Danio rerio: one gene and its partners. The protein of the gene in region 4 purifies or fractionates together with the protein of the main gene of each other region. This does not show direct contact. Links are inferred from orthologs where the notes say so. Each region holds a gene or a part of one and is shown on either strand. Other genes may lie near its edges. The genes, in order: fam189a2, cpsf6, cflara and itcha.

Evidence for each region.
Region 1: the proteins of itcha (region 4) and fam189a2 purify together in Homo sapiens (co-immunoprecipitation; 3 studies listed by BioGRID and IntAct, counting the BioPlex papers as one, with this or other methods). This does not show direct contact. The link is inferred for Danio rerio from reciprocal best matches to the Homo sapiens genes ITCH and ENTREP1.
Region 2: the proteins of itcha (region 4) and cpsf6 purify together in Homo sapiens (affinity purification with mass spectrometry; 5 studies listed by BioGRID and IntAct, with this or other methods). This does not show direct contact. The link is inferred for Danio rerio from reciprocal best matches to the Homo sapiens genes ITCH and CPSF6.
Region 3: the proteins of itcha (region 4) and cflara purify together in Homo sapiens (affinity purification with western blotting; 8 studies listed by BioGRID). This does not show direct contact. The link is inferred for Danio rerio from reciprocal best matches to the Homo sapiens genes ITCH and CFLAR.

The regions. Positions count from the first base shown.
Region 1 is NC_133180.1:56,884,918-56,888,486, reverse strand, and holds part of fam189a2 (endosomal transmembrane epsin interactor 1), read left to right. Parts: intron 1-798; coding exon 799-918; intron 919-2,989; coding exon 2,990-3,097; intron 3,098-3,263; coding exon 3,264-3,397; intron 3,398-3,569. UniProt on the Homo sapiens protein: Functions as an activator of the E3 ubiquitin protein ligase ITCH in the ubiquitination of the CXCL12-activated CXCR4 receptor. Thereby, triggers CXCR4 endocytosis and desensitization, negatively regulating the CXCL12/CXCR4 signaling pathway.
Region 2 is NC_133179.1:2,380,907-2,384,475, reverse strand, and holds part of cpsf6 (cleavage and polyadenylation specificity factor subunit 6), read left to right. Parts: intron 1-110; coding exon 111-284; intron 285-882; coding exon 883-1,366; intron 1,367-3,339; coding exon 3,340-3,455; intron 3,456-3,528; coding exon 3,529-3,569. UniProt on the Homo sapiens protein: Component of the cleavage factor Im (CFIm) complex that functions as an activator of the pre-mRNA 3'-end cleavage and polyadenylation processing required for the maturation of pre-mRNA into functional mRNAs.
Region 3 is NC_133186.1:32,574,697-32,579,012, reverse strand, and holds the start of cflara (CASP8 and FADD-like apoptosis regulator a), read left to right. Parts: upstream 1-1,458; 5' UTR 1,459-1,618; intron 1,619-2,452; 5' UTR 2,453-2,526; exon of another isoform or gene 2,527-2,545; intron 2,546-2,626; 5' UTR 2,627-2,844; coding exon 2,845-3,152; intron 3,153-3,378; coding exon 3,379-3,484; intron 3,485-3,623; coding exon 3,624-3,759; intron 3,760-3,934; coding exon 3,935-3,972; intron 3,973-4,066; coding exon 4,067-4,130; intron 4,131-4,316. UniProt on the Homo sapiens protein: Apoptosis regulator protein which may function as a crucial link between cell survival and cell death pathways in mammalian cells. Acts as an inhibitor of TNFRSF6 mediated apoptosis.
Region 4 is NC_133181.1:60,215,133-60,218,701, reverse strand, and holds part of itcha (itchy E3 ubiquitin protein ligase a), read left to right. Parts: intron 1-106; coding exon 107-176; intron 177-531; coding exon 532-616; intron 617-1,454; coding exon 1,455-1,583; intron 1,584-1,786; coding exon 1,787-1,859; intron 1,860-3,233; coding exon 3,234-3,305; intron 3,306-3,404; coding exon 3,405-3,493; intron 3,494-3,569. UniProt on the Homo sapiens protein: Acts as an Acts as an E3 ubiquitin-protein ligase which accepts ubiquitin from an E2 ubiquitin-conjugating enzyme in the form of a thioester and then directly transfers the ubiquitin to targeted substrates.

The DNA of each region.
Region 1 (3,569 bases), on a different chromosome or scaffold from region 4:
ACATGCATTCTCATACTACTTCTCCTTCTCATTTAGAAGCACACATAAGTTAGGTATTTCAAGATTCAGTTCAGTAAGAGATTCAACTGCTACTGGTGTGGCCAGTCTGTTGGAGTTCTAAAAAAGTGATACTTTGGAATTATTTTTTAAATGTAACTATTAATTGTGTCTGATCTCCCTCTGTTTGTTACATCAGTGACTTCGTATCTTTGTGTTGTTATTGCATATTGTACCTGAAAACTTTAATTTTATAATAATTCATACTTTCTGTTGTCGGCTTTGTCCCTTTATTAATCTGGGGTCGCCACAGCAGAATGAACCGCCAACTTATCCAGCACGTTTTAACGCAGCGGATGCCCTTCCAGCTGCAACCCATCTCTGGGAAACATCCACACACACACATACATACACACACACACACACACACACACACACACACACACACACACACACACACACACACACACACCAGCTGCAACCCATCTCTTGGAAACATCCAAACACACACACAATTTAGCCTACCCAATTCACCTTTACCGCATGTCTTTGGACTGTGGGGGAAACCGGAGCACCCGGAGGAAACCCACGCGAAGGCAGGGAGAACATGCAAACTCCACACAGAAACCAGAAGCCAACTGAGCCAAGGTTCGAACCAGCGACCCAGCGACCTTCTTGCTGTGAGGCGACAGCACTACCTACTGCGCCAGTGCTCCGCCCATTTAATACTAAAGTATTAATAGATATTGTCATGAGATAACACAGAGATATTAATGTAATACATGTGTTTGTGTGTTTCAGAGTGAGCAGGGCGATCTCTGTTACTGTTGTTCAGAGACTCCAAGTGCTCAGTGCCAAGAGGAGAAGCTGATAAAGATCTACGCAGGTCATGCATGTGGCACAATGAGAATCCTGCTCAAAGTATGTGCAAATTAATTTTGACAATAAATAAATGAATATAAAACATATATAGTTGTATAAGCAAAGAAACACAGATGAGAACTAATAACACCATAAAATTCAATATTTCTGAAAATTTGATTACATAAGCTCAATGCAATAAAGTATTTTTAGTATAACCATAAAAAGTATGAGCATGCACAGCACTCAATACTTAGTTGGGGCTCCTTTTGCCTGAAATACTGCAGTAATGCAGCGTGGCATGAAGTCATTCAGTCTGTGGCACTGCTCAGGTGTTTTGAGAGCCATGTTTCTATGATAGTGGCCTTCAGCTCTTATGAATTGTTGGATTTGGCATATCACATTTTTCTCTTCACAATAGCACATACTGTAGATTTTCTATAGAGTTAAGGTCAGGTGAGTATAGACAGGGGTAATTAAGAACAGGGATATCATGGTGCTTAAACCAGATTATGGTAGTTTTGGCACTGTGTGCAGGTGCCAAGTCCTGTTGGAAAATTAAAAGCGCCATAAAGTTTGTTAGCAACAGGAAGCATGAAGTGCCTGGTATAACATGATAGTGTTATAATGTTTTGGGGGGTGTTTTTCAGCCAGTGGACCAGGGAACCTTATCATAGTAAATGGCACCTTAAAAAATGCTTCAAAACTGTCAACAACAGCGTCATTCCTATGCTGATGAATTGGACCATGGGCACCAGTTGACATTTCAGTACAGTTATGACCCCAAACACACAGCAAAAGTGATGAACAAATGGTTGGCAGACAAAAACATTACCATTTTGCAGTGGACCAGCCAGTTTCCTGATGTAAATTGAATTGAGAATTTGTAGAGTGCTAATTATCACCTCAGTTACAAATTATGGGCTTTATTCTGTGTTAAATGCTACTAATGTACTGTAAGTTGAAATAGCCTATTATATTATTATTATTGCCATACTACTGAAATAAGTAGCATATAGTTTATCTCAGATCTTGGGTTCTAAAATAAAAAGTTTGAACCATGACCAACAACATCAGTCACTCAGTAGCATATTGGTAATTTCAAAGAGGTTTAATATTTATTAATTAGATTATAATCTTTACTATTTTATTGGAAGTGCAGTGGCTGGTATTTAAATGAATGGCTAGTATTTAAATGTTTCTGCCTTGTCGTGTTTGGTGCAGAATCTTGACACGTCAGTATAACCATCTGCGAAGGCAATGCACAGATTTTTTTTGTTTTAGAATTTATATTATGTGGTTTACTCCGTCTTAAAAGTTACTAATGTGAGTCTGAACACCATGTTTTTGAGACATTTGTTGCATGTTGAAAATTAATTCAGCAATTGATTTGAATTGAAAGCAGCAAAACGTTGTTTATCTCGGTCCTCAGAAAAAAAGAAACAGTTGGAAAATGAAAGTCAGTAACTCAGTGCAAACAAGCAATATCAGTACTCAGCCTATGTACTGTACTTTTAATAATGTTAAATTGCTTTAATATGTATTCATGAGATTATAACCCTTATCATTTTTGTTGAGATTGTAGTAGCTGTTATTAAAATGACTATAGTAAAACAAGGCTGTAGTATTTGTTTCTGTTGTGTTGTGTTGCATTTTTTTTGCAAACAGTCAAATTGCTTGCAGCTGAAAACTTGTGCCTATAGAAACTGTCCCTATTTAATATTGGCTGCACACTATAATGGTGGTACATGTCTTCATCCCCAGGCAACTATTTAAAGCCTTAGTACTCTAGTCCTGTTATATCTGGACTCTGAAAAGCACTACTGCCATATATATCCATCATCTCTAGATAAACTCTCGTCAATCCACTCAGTGTTACCCTGCTCATAAATCATTGAATCAGGTATTAAAATATTTTAAAGACTTACACCTGGATTTTAGTGATAATTCTTGATGTTTTTGTGTCTTTAACCATTCACTGGCCACTAAACCATGCCCCCTCTTTGGAGGTAACAAAACCTGAAAAAACTATGCATTGTAGTTAAAACACGATTGTGTATTAATTTTTTTTACATTTTTGATTCTATTTCAATTAAGCCTAATCACCTCTAATAGGTTTTCTCTCTTTCAGAAAGTGCTCTTTGCATTGTGTGCATTGAATGCTTTGGCAACAGCTGTGTGTCTGGTTGCTGCTGCACTCAGGTATATGCAGATCTTCTCAACCAGACGGCCATGCATGGTGAGGCAAACCATATTTTTAAAAGGTTTTAATTCTTGCTTGGTGTGTGAAATAGATTGACAACACTGTTTAGGGATAGTGTGAGCTGTTCAGAAGTGTTTGATGACCGTCTGTTGTCTGTGTGAGTTCTAATATTGATGTGATGATGATGATAATGATTTGGCAGGAAGAGGCCAGGCCTGTTCCAGAGGAAGTGGAGGAGCAGACTCATCTTCCAGACCCTGACGAATTTGTTGCTCCTGCACCCCCTCCTTCATACTTCTCTACCTTTTACTCTTATACTCCTCGCCTGGCTCGCAGGTAAAACATTTGAACCTCATTTTATTACTATACAGCCTACTGTTACAATTGTGCTGTCACTTAAATTGCCAATTTTAGTCTAGAAGTTATTTAATTTAATTATTTATTTATTTGTTACAACTTTATATGTCTGGTTTATTGGATTTAATGACACATGATTTAATATTTAGCT
Region 2 (3,569 bases), on a different chromosome or scaffold from region 4:
CTAACATCTAATGTTAATTTTGATTTCACGGGGACTTTAAACTTACTGAATGAGAATAGCGTTGCTGTATGTGTGCTGCAGTTTAGAAGAGTGTGTTTTGGTCCACGCAGGCACACAGTCAGGACAGATGTCAGGAGAGGGGAAGGCTGGTCCTCCAGGCTCAGGATCTCGAGGTGGAGGATTCCCTCCTGGCAAAGGTCAGAGACGCTTTCCTGGCCCACCTGGACAAGGAGACCGCTTCCCTGGACCGGTTGGACCTGGCGGTCCTCCACCACACTTCCCAGGTATAAGCTTGAACAGGAGTGAACTTTTGAATTGTCAGTATATACATCAGAACTAACAGCTATTATTATAGGTCTGCAATGGGAGGAAACAAATAGGACTGTAATTTGTTCTATCAGTTGTTGGATCTATAACAACTGATAGAGAAGATTTAATAATGCAAGTTTCTACAACATTATACAGACTTAAAGTAGAGGGTAAAAATGTACATTTTTGTTGTGGACCGGCACATATTGGAATAATGGGAAATAAAATTGGCAGATAAATTGGCAAAAAGAATCATTGAAGAAAAATCAAGTAGATGTTAAAGTACCTTTGGGAAGGAATGAAATGAGATCAGTAATTAATAAGGAAATAACAAATATTTGGCAACAATATTTGGTCTGAAAACTGATGCTCTGAGGTGAATGGGTCACTTTTCAAGTGAATCAGAAAAAGTTGATCAATTGTCCTAAATCAAGAATGGGTGATGTTTAATGTTCACCACAAAACTAGCAGTGTGAGCTCCCAAAATCATACGGTTAGTTTTGATTTCATGTGTATTTTTGTAATCCCTTCTCCTCTCTGCTTCAAAATGTAATGCATCAAATCTTCTTGCAGGTATGCAGGGCCCACCACGTCTTCCCTCTGGCCCACCTGGGCCCCTGGGACCTCCAGGCCCCCCTCCACCTGGACAAGGTCTGCCTCCTCCCCTCGGCGGACCCCCTAACAGAGGAGACCGTCCTCCTCCACCTGTCTTGTTTCCTGGTCAGTTCGGGCAACCCCCAATGGGCCCGATGCCTCCTGGGCCTCCCCCACCAGGATACGGGCCTCCCCCAGGCCCCCCTCCACCTCAGCAGGGACCACCCCCTCCAGGACCCTTCCCTCCCCGTCCACCTGGGCCCTTAGGACCCCCGCTTGGCCTCGCACCCCCACCACACATGCAGGGACCCCCACCTGGAGGCCCACCGCCGGCTCCTCACGTCAACCCGGCCTTCTTCCCACCACCTGGAAACAACATGCCATCATCTGACGGCAGAGGACCCCCACCTGGAGACCCGTACGGCCGCCCACCTCCTTATGACAGAGACTTCCCTGGTGGCAGGTAATAAACACATCGCCCACAACTACACCTATACTCTAAAAAGCCCGAAGTGTATGTGCACAGTTAAATGAACAGTCTTACTATAGTATGCTGTGATGGCATGCTCACTACAACAGATAACACTGCAAATATGCATTCAATTGTTTTTCATTGGAAGCACATTTAGATGTAATTTAATCATTTCACATTACATTTTAATATTGACAGCCATAACTTGATAACATTTTATAAATATTAAAAAATAAGTGAAGTTTCACAAACTAATTTCTAGAAGAGCACGTGATATGATCAACTAGAGCTGATCCTCATCACTGATCATTAGCTAGCCTATCAGATCATTCCAAAACTACTATGAATATCCTGCCTAAACTCCGTTCCCTGTCTTCGTTTTTGGCAAACCCCCTTCTATCCTTCCCTTCTCCTTCCTCGTTAATTATATGATAGGGCAACAGGGTGGCTCAATGGCTGGCGCTGCTGCCTCGCAGTGGGAGGGCCAAAGGTTCAAGTTCTAATTGAGCCAGTCGTTACTCTCTGCCATGAGTTTGCATGTTCACCCTGTGTTCCCGTATGTTTTCCTCGGGTACTCCGGTTTCCTCCAACAGTCTTAAAACATGTACATAAGCGAACTGTAAAGTCATAAGCACTTAACGCATACATACTGAATCAGTCAGAACCACCATATTAACCATAGTATAAAACAAACGAGAGGGCTCTCGAAGAATACCCGATCTCCTATCCAAACTAATGCTCATTGACCAAACGGGAACCTTGTGCTCTTCGATTTGAGATTCAGGTTCTCTCCTGGGACAGCATGCCAAACCTGCTATCATAGTTAAGCATTGTCTAAGTGTGAACTCCTAAATGTATTTATATATTGTTACGTGTTAATGATGTTAAATAATTAAAAGGATGATACGTAACAATCAGTGAGTCCATTGATGCTGGGTGAATAAGGAGAAGACACAAACGCTTGATAAGTGAAACAAAAAGTAAGTATTTATTAATGGATAATGTCAAACAATGAATATGAGATGGAAGATAAATGTAATTTTAAATAATTGAATTAAATAAAGAAAAATAGGAGTGTTGCCAAAACAAAGAAATAAATATAACAAAACGATCTAACTAAACCCCAACCCACTAAACTGACTGATCAAAGAAAAATGCAGAAACAAAACAGTAATCTTCAGCACGTAGCTTAACTAAACTTCATAACTCCCAAACATAATTACACATGAGGCAACGCCTCCAAAAACGAACTAATACAAAGTTATACTAAGCTGCTCGAAATACTAGAATTCTTGTAAAGTACAGACTGTTAGCCATTAGCAAAACAAGATCTCAGGTAATCCAATTCTCATAAAGATCGTTCATATTCTCACTATACATTAACCTGAGCAGCACAAGTTTAACTGATAAATCCATATCAACAAAGAGAAAACTAGAACACAGCACTCGCAAACAAACCAAGCGGAACAAACAAGTCAACAGTTTGAGAGATTGACAGGCCAAGCGCTCCTCCAGAACAGCGCAAGCGCACCGGTTTTATACTGCGCGGACCCAATCCTTATTAGCGCCGATTGAGTGACGAAGGTGAATGACAGCTCACTCGACCAATGGTAGCACACCTGAAACAGGATAGGACCACTGCGAGAGAGAGAGAGAGAGAGAGAGAGAAGAGCGCAAAGCAGAAAACAACAAAAATACCACAAAACATACGTGAAACGTAACTATTTTTTTAAACCTGTCTATCTTGCATTTGGATGGTATTTCCTTTTATTTTGGTGTCGCTTTAGTTTTTAGTTGCTGAAATGTCTGTGCCTCACTTTGATTTAACATGTGATGCAATGTGATTCAGCACTAACGACCACTGCAGCTCTTTGTGTGAATTCGATCCCTGAAGCATTACGCTTCGCTCTGACTCGTGCTTTTAGTTTGCGCGTGTTCATTAATCAGCATTTTGTGTGCTTCAGGGACATGGATGCGTCTCGCACTCCCCTGAGCGAAGCTGAGTTTGAGGAGATCATGAACCGGAACAGAGCGATTTCCAGCAGCGCTATTTCAAGGGCCGTTTCTGATGCCAGTGCAGGTGTGGAGATCATTACACCCAGCACAAATATGAGGTGTGGTGTGTTGTGAATTAACCGTTTCCGTTTCTGCAGCTGATTACGGCAGTGCTATAGAGACTCTGGTGACGGCCATC
Region 3 (4,316 bases), on a different chromosome or scaffold from region 4:
ATAAGACCAAAATTAAATAGTAAGTTCTTATAGTTATCTGTATCTTTTCATCTATGAAATGTACTAAAACTTTCTTGTTTTCTCTTGAGCATTGCTTGTTTGCCCAGACACTGCTTACCTTAGATGTTGTTCATATTTGTTCAGTGAGTAAATTCACTAAATGTCTTATACTTGGCGTGAAAATTACAATAAAATGAGCAAATCAGCAAAATATTATTTTGCAGCAGCCTATGCATTTATTTCAGCATTAGAGTCCACAAATGAAAAATGTGAAAGGTGGAAAAAATCTGTTTTTATTCTTTTCAACAAGTCTGTTAGCAAATTAGCCGTAGTTGCATAACAAAACTGCATAAGTGAAAAAAAAAATCTCCAATAGAATCAGCTAAATCGTAACGATCACTTTAACATCTGATCTGTGCAGTTTTGGAACTCAAATTATGTAAATAAAAATAGTTGGTTAGACACATGACTTTATTTACATATCCACATACACTAAGAAAGCATAACAGACCATCTAATCATAGGATTGAGTGTAATAAACTAATTCAGGATCTTAATGTTGTTATACTTAGTTAGAATCGTTTTATAGTAAAATATACAAAACAAACATTGTGTCACATTAAAATGAATTACTATAGTTGATAATTTAAAATAACTACTTCATCTTTTACTAAACTGCAGCAACTTTTAGTTATATATATTATATATATAATAAATATATTTAAATATATAATTATTATTATCAGTCAATTTGTTTGTATTACTATTTTGTTGCAACTATAATTATCACAAATGACCAGTACTTTATGGTTTAACAAATCTATATAAAAACATAAAAACAAATATATTACTTACTTTAAATCACTATAGTACTTCATGTGGGAAATCATTAATAAAAAAAGTTAGAAAATTGAGCAAATAAATACTTATCGCTGGAGTAAAATAATAATATAGTGTTAGACATTTATTAAATGTAAAAAGATTTGTATTACATATAAAGATGTATTATAGCCTACACATATAATCTTGCCATATTTCCTTCATTATAGTGAATCCATTATATAAATTAAACCTGCCCAATTTAGATCGTTGATATATCTCTGAAAAATGTTTCAGCAAAGCCAGCAACGAGTATCTGCTATACTGACTTTGTTTGATGAATAATGACTGATCATCCATGAGGGCTGATATCAGTACAGCTTGTCTCGATAGAGGGGGAGCATGAGCTCTCGCTCCTCCTCCTATAAGCTGTTTTAATCCTGGTGTACGCATTAAAACAGCTTTCAGGAGGCAGAGCTAGAGCTCATGCTCCCCCTCTCTGGAGCTCAGCTCTGCTCAAATGGCTCTGCAGCGAGCACCCTCTCGTTTTAATGCGTGCACCAACCCCACCCCTAACCCTACCCCAGTGACATCACTCGTAGAAGTGCATGAAAGGAGGAACGAGAGCTCAAGCTCCCCCTCGCTGGAGCTCAGCTCTGCCTAAATGGCTCTGCAGTGAGCACCACTACTTGTCTCGATCGACCGGAACAGGGCGTGACTTCGCGTAACTCAAAGGCTTTGGTAACTTTGCTTTCGCTTTTGCTTCAGTTTGTCACGATGGCGACGTACGACGTAAAAGGTAAAAATATCATTTAAATACATTCTCTCTGATCAAATAGCTTACTTTTAGTAAGATTTTTTGTTATAGCTTCATACAAGTTAGTCGATAAACACTTAACGTTAACAAGTTCTATAAATGGCCTACGTAACCTACTATAAGTACAATTTTACCGGACAAATTCGGCTGTAAGTTGAAGAGTCCTAACTACTGAACGGAAGACGTTGTGAACAACATGTAAACAAAGGCAGTTCAAGTCAGTCGACGGTGAAACGTAGTAGTTGTTTTAGAATACGCGTATTGTATCGTTTTGTATTGCTGTTGTGACCTTTAATTATCTGCTCCGCCTGTATCTCTGTCCACGTAGGCTTTAGGAACAGGTGTAAGTTAGTATTGTCGGGAGACTTAGTTATTCATACATTCAACTTTTTGAATCAGCTCGAGTCGAATGTTTTCACAATAAAGACATTAAAGAATCGATTAATCTTTTACGACCGAAGTGGTTCTTCGGAATTCAAAAGTTATGCCAAAAACAATGAAAAGGCGTTGTTAGTAGATAAACGCTGTGAAATAGGCTAGTTAGTAGATAAACGCTTGTGTAGTGACGCTATACAAATTCCATGGTTGATTTCGGAAATCCCCTTGCTTAAGCACACTGACAAGGATGTTTGAAAACATCAAATGTAATGTATTTTAAAGAATATCAAAAAATACCACCGTGGTAAAATGCCCCCCACAAAATCTGTTGTGGATGTCTAGGTACTTTCCATCATTATGGTTTCATTTAGATTTACATCCATCTAGTGATGAGTCCCCTTTCTCCTCCTCTTTTTTTAAAAATTTTTTTTAACTTAGTGTCAGCAAAAGATGAAGCTCGCTGCTGGCAAAACCACCAAAGAATTTGGTGCTCCAAATTAAGGTCACTGAAGGTAATTCAGCCTTTTACAGGTATCTTTCATTTGTTGATGTTTTTTTTTATTTATTTTTTTATTTTTTTGCTAAATTGGGTGTTCTGTTTGTCTTTTACAGGTGTAAATCCAAAGTGGCTACATTCTTCCATTCTGTCAAGATAAATGCAATTTTCATTCATTGATTGCAAAAAAAAAAGAAAAAGAAAAGAAAAAGAAAATACAGCCCTTTTTCTAGACTAACTTAATTAGATTTTAAAAATGCATAGAAAATTCAATTCTGCTTTTAAAATGACCCAAACTATTACCTAAAGTATTTATACAACACCATACGGTGAAATGGCAGATGGATTTTCTACTCTGGTTAACAAAGTGACCGCATCTCTTAGCAGCGACGAGTCTAAGATCCTGCTGTATCTTTGCACTGATTTGTTCAACAACAGTTGTGTGGAAGAACTGAGAGGAGATTTGCTGGCCTTTGCCCAACAGAACCCCAATCAAGCAGGTCAACCTCATTCTGGAAATGCTCTGCTGATGGAGCTCATGTTTCAAATGAAGCGCTATGATTTACTACGCAAAGTTTTTGGCACCAACAAACAACAGGTAGAAGGAATTCTCAGAAAGGAGCGCGTCATCTCAGATTACAGGTAATTTATTCTTCAAATGAACACATTTCAGATATTTCCTAACCCATGACCCATGTGGTGGAAAAATACAATTTTAGTAAAGAAGAACTATTTTAGAGCTTGACATTTGTTTGTTTTTTTAGGTCATTAGAGCAGTTTCATTAGAAATACCCATGTAGAAATACCCATGTGTGTTATTTACACTCTCTTTTGCAGTACGATTATTGAATTGATTACTTTTATACAGGGTTCTAATGGCAGATGTGAGTGAAAACTTGGATAAAGAGGATTTACAATCTCTTATCTTCCTCCTAAGCAGTATCCTGCCCAAAGAAAGATCAACTAGAGCTACTGTAAGACCTTACTGAATATTTCTGTCTGTTCAAATTAATATTTATTCTGCAGAATATTTAGGTAAAACTGAACATGAATATGCTATTTTTCTAGAAATGTGTGTGCTATTTCATTTTGGTTTCAATTGATTTCCAATAGAGCTTTCTAGATGTGGTGGTGGAGTTGGAGAAATTAAATGAAGTATCTTGTGAGAAGCTGGACTTTCTTGAAAAGTGTCTTAAAAATATTCGCAGAAATGACCTTGTCAAAAAAATTCAGGCGTACAGGAATAGAGGTCAGTCCCTTTTGAAAGAAAGTAAAAGAGAAAATCTTCTGCAAAAAAAAAACATGCATTTCTATAACGCACCACAAAGCTCTTAATTTGGCAACTAGACTCAGTTATTTTATTTACTAATATATATCAAATAAAGCAATTACGTGATTAAATTTACTAAATAAAAATTATTTAGGTCAGAACATGCCATGTGCCGCTCCAAATACCTTTAAGGTAAGACATTTAAACAAATATATTGATACAGTATATGAAAAGTATATAAAGCATATTTTTAAACTCTTTGTTTTTCTACTTTTTAAAATTTCAGTTCACCCCTATGCAGTGTCAGCCTTTTGAAAAGCAAGTGAGACAATCACAGTGCTTCAATCATGGTGAGTTAATATGTAGGTATGTACAGTATGTGTAAAGCGGGTGTAAAGGGATAGTTCAAACAAAATTCTGTCATTATTTACTCACACTTCACATTTCACAAAACTAATTGAGGTTCCTTTTTCTGTTGAACCCAAACTTTATTTTGAAAAATGTTGGAAAGCTTATACCACTGACTTCCCTTGTAT
Region 4 (3,569 bases):
GTTGAGTTTTTTCCTTAGATGATTTTTAATAAAAAGAATCACCTCTGTGACCTTAGCTGAGGGTATTTCATCTGCTCTTGTTCTTTCCTTCTGCTCATGTCTTCAGCTGCAGGAACAGCTCGCGCCGACAGCTAATAAAGAGTTTGACCCTCTGGGACCGCTGCCGTCAGGATGGGGTGAGTCTGTTTTGTGCTGCAGAAAGAGGAAATTTCATTTCAACCTTAAAATAGAGCAGCTCATACTGGCTTTTTTTTTCTCTGTGTGTGTTTATTTTGGGACGTTATCTATTTGCACATTCTTTATACACTGAAACATAATGTGTGATTCAATCATTTGTGATTATTTGGATGCCGTGTTATTTTAATCAGGATTAGTCACTCAAAAACAATTAAGTGTGTGTGTGTGTGTGTGTGTGTGTGTGTGTGTGTGTGTGTGTGTGTGTGTGTGTGTGTGTGTGTGTGTGTGTGTGTGTGTGTGTGTGTGTGTGTGTGTGTGTGTGTGTGTGTGTGTGTTTGTTTGTTTCGCTCACAGAGAAACGTACCGACAGTAATAGGAGGATGTATTTTGTTCACCATCCTACAAGATCCACACAATGGGAAGACCCTCGCACACAAGGGTGGGATCATTATGAGCTGCACGCAATATATTTATACAGTACTATTTAATATTTATATACTGTTGCAATTCTATAAATATTTACAATGTTTTTTTATTTTTAGTTCAATTTTTAGCCGTTTTGTTGCATGCTTTTGTCATTTTTTTTGTTAATAGTTGAAATAGTATTGTTTTTTTATTGTTTTATTGCTATTAAAGTTTTTTATTAATATTCTGTGCTTGCTTATAAATTTGTAAGCTTATGTTCATTTCAATGTACTATTATTTTAATTTTCATTCATATTAATATTATATTAAGCTTTTTTTATATTTTCAGTATTTAATTGATTGAAATTGTGAGATATTTAGTATTTTTGCTGCATTTTTTTAGATATTAATTATATTTAATACAGACAATGTATTATGTTTTATTGCAATTTAAATTATTTTATTTTTTATGTTTAAATTTCATTTAGTTGCCATGGCAGCATTTGTAAGTTTTATATTGAATTAATCAAGTTTTTTAAAATATTTTTTATTCCTTATCTTTTTATATTATTAGTATTATTATTATTATTATTATTATTAATATCATTTTTATTATTATTATTATTATTATTATCATAATTTTTATTATTATTATTTTTTATTATACATTTTTTGCAACTAAATTACCTAATTTCTGTTTTATAATTATTATTATTATTATTATTATTATTATTATTATTATTATTATTAACCAAATTTCCTCCTTTCTGTATATTATTATTATTGTTATTTATTTGTTATTTATTTTATATTTTTTTACAAGCAGGCAATAAGCATTATATTTGTTGTAATTAATTGTTTTAATTTGTCAGGTTGCTAAATGAGAAGCCTTTGCCGGAAGGTTGGGAAATGAGGTTTACAGTGGATGGGATTCCCTATTTTGTGGATCACAACAGAAGAACTACAACATACATAGACCCCCGTACAGGAAAATCCTCGCTGTGAGTTCTTATATTATTATAAGAAAAACTTTTTTATTTTTAAAACCTTCAGCATGTTGATTTTACACAGTGACGCTCCTGTTTCAGTGTACAAATTAAGTTCAATGTTGTTTTGTTTTGTTTTTAATCAGTGCTGATGCATTGCAGTGAGGTTGTGTGTGGTGTTTTACCATCTGTCTGTTTGTGTCTTTGTGGACCTGCAGTGAGAACGGCCCTCAGATCACATACGTACGAGATTTTAAAGCCAAAGTGCACTATTTCCGCTTCTGGTGTCAGGTAAGACCTCATGGAGGAGTTATACTAATTTAAAATGATTTTTTATAAAGCTGTTTTAATATCTCCTGATGTCTTCAAATCTCTGATGTTTCATTTAAGAAGTCGATGCTTAAAACTTTAATTTAAAATCTTGAATTAAGTCATTTTATTGTAAATTATTGGGGGACAGTGCAGTCTGCTTCCAAAAGAAGTTGTGAGTTTTTGCAAGTTATTTATCATATAAAAATGATAATTAACATTTAATAATGACTAATATACATACACTACCGGTCAAAGGTTGGGGTCAGTAGGGTTTTAAAATGTTTTAAAATAAGCTTCTCCTGCTCACCAAAGCTGCATTTATTTAATCAAAAATACAGTACAAATTGTAAAATTGTGAAATGTTATTGCACTATAAAATAACTTTTCAAAAGTAGTTTTTCATTTCATTTAATAATTTATTCTAGGGATTTTAATGATGAATTTTCAGCTTCATTACTCCAGTCTTCAGAGTCACACGATCCTTCATAAATCACTCTAATATTAATTATCATTGTTGTTATTTTATTATGTATAATGTATATTATTATTATTATTATTATTATCGGTAATAGTAATAAAAAATAATGACTGGAGTAATAATTTCCTTTAAAAACAACATGTAATAAGTTATAAATAAATATTTTATAAATAAGTAATTAACAATTAATTATTATTTTTTACATTTAATAAGGGACACCTTGATGAGCAAAATAATGTTCTTTAAAATAAAAACTGACCTCAAACCTTTGACCGGTAGTGTATATTATTGCATAGTATTATTTATTTGTTTATTTATCTTTATGCTGTTGTAATTAACAAAAATATGATTATTAATTATACAGTTTATTATATAATAATAAGTGTCCAAACCTTTGTTTTATTTCACAAGTCAATGTTTAAAACCTATTTTAATATATTGAAGAAGGTCATTTTTGTGATTCTTTTAAAAAAAATTTATTAATTGGCAGAATAAAATAATATATTTTTAGGCTTTTTTTAAAGTTATTTATCATATAAAAATGATAATGAATATTTAATTACTGATATAAATCTATAAATGCTTACTATGATTTATTTATTTTTTATGTTATATTATTGTTTTTGTTTTTATATTAATAATATAAAAATATTATTATATATACTTCATATTTTATAATAATAATAATACTAATATATGTATGATATAACCCATTTTTTGTAAAAAAAAATATATACATTTAATTTATCTGAAATAAATATTAAAACATTTTTTAATTTAAGAGCTTATGGACATAGTTCCAAAACTAATTAAAAAAATTATTTGCAAATGTAAATATTTATTTATTAATTAAAACATGTATTTTAACACCACAGCAATTATCAATGCCTCAACACATCAAAATCCATGTGAGTCGCAAAACGCTGTTTGAGGACTCATTTCAGCAGGTAAATGATGATTTATTTACACATATTTAAAGTTTAAGGGTCTCATTACATGCGATGTGCAGAAATAAATTATACATTTTTAAAAATTGATTTATTTAGATTATGGGTTGCCATCCACAAGACCTGAGGCGAAGATTGTGGATCATTTTCCCAGGGGAGGAGGGGCTTGACTATGGAGGCGTGGCCAGGTACATAACATCATTGATGGGAAGGGATGCACTGAGTTGACATATGCACACATGCACATTAATGCTGTGTATTTCT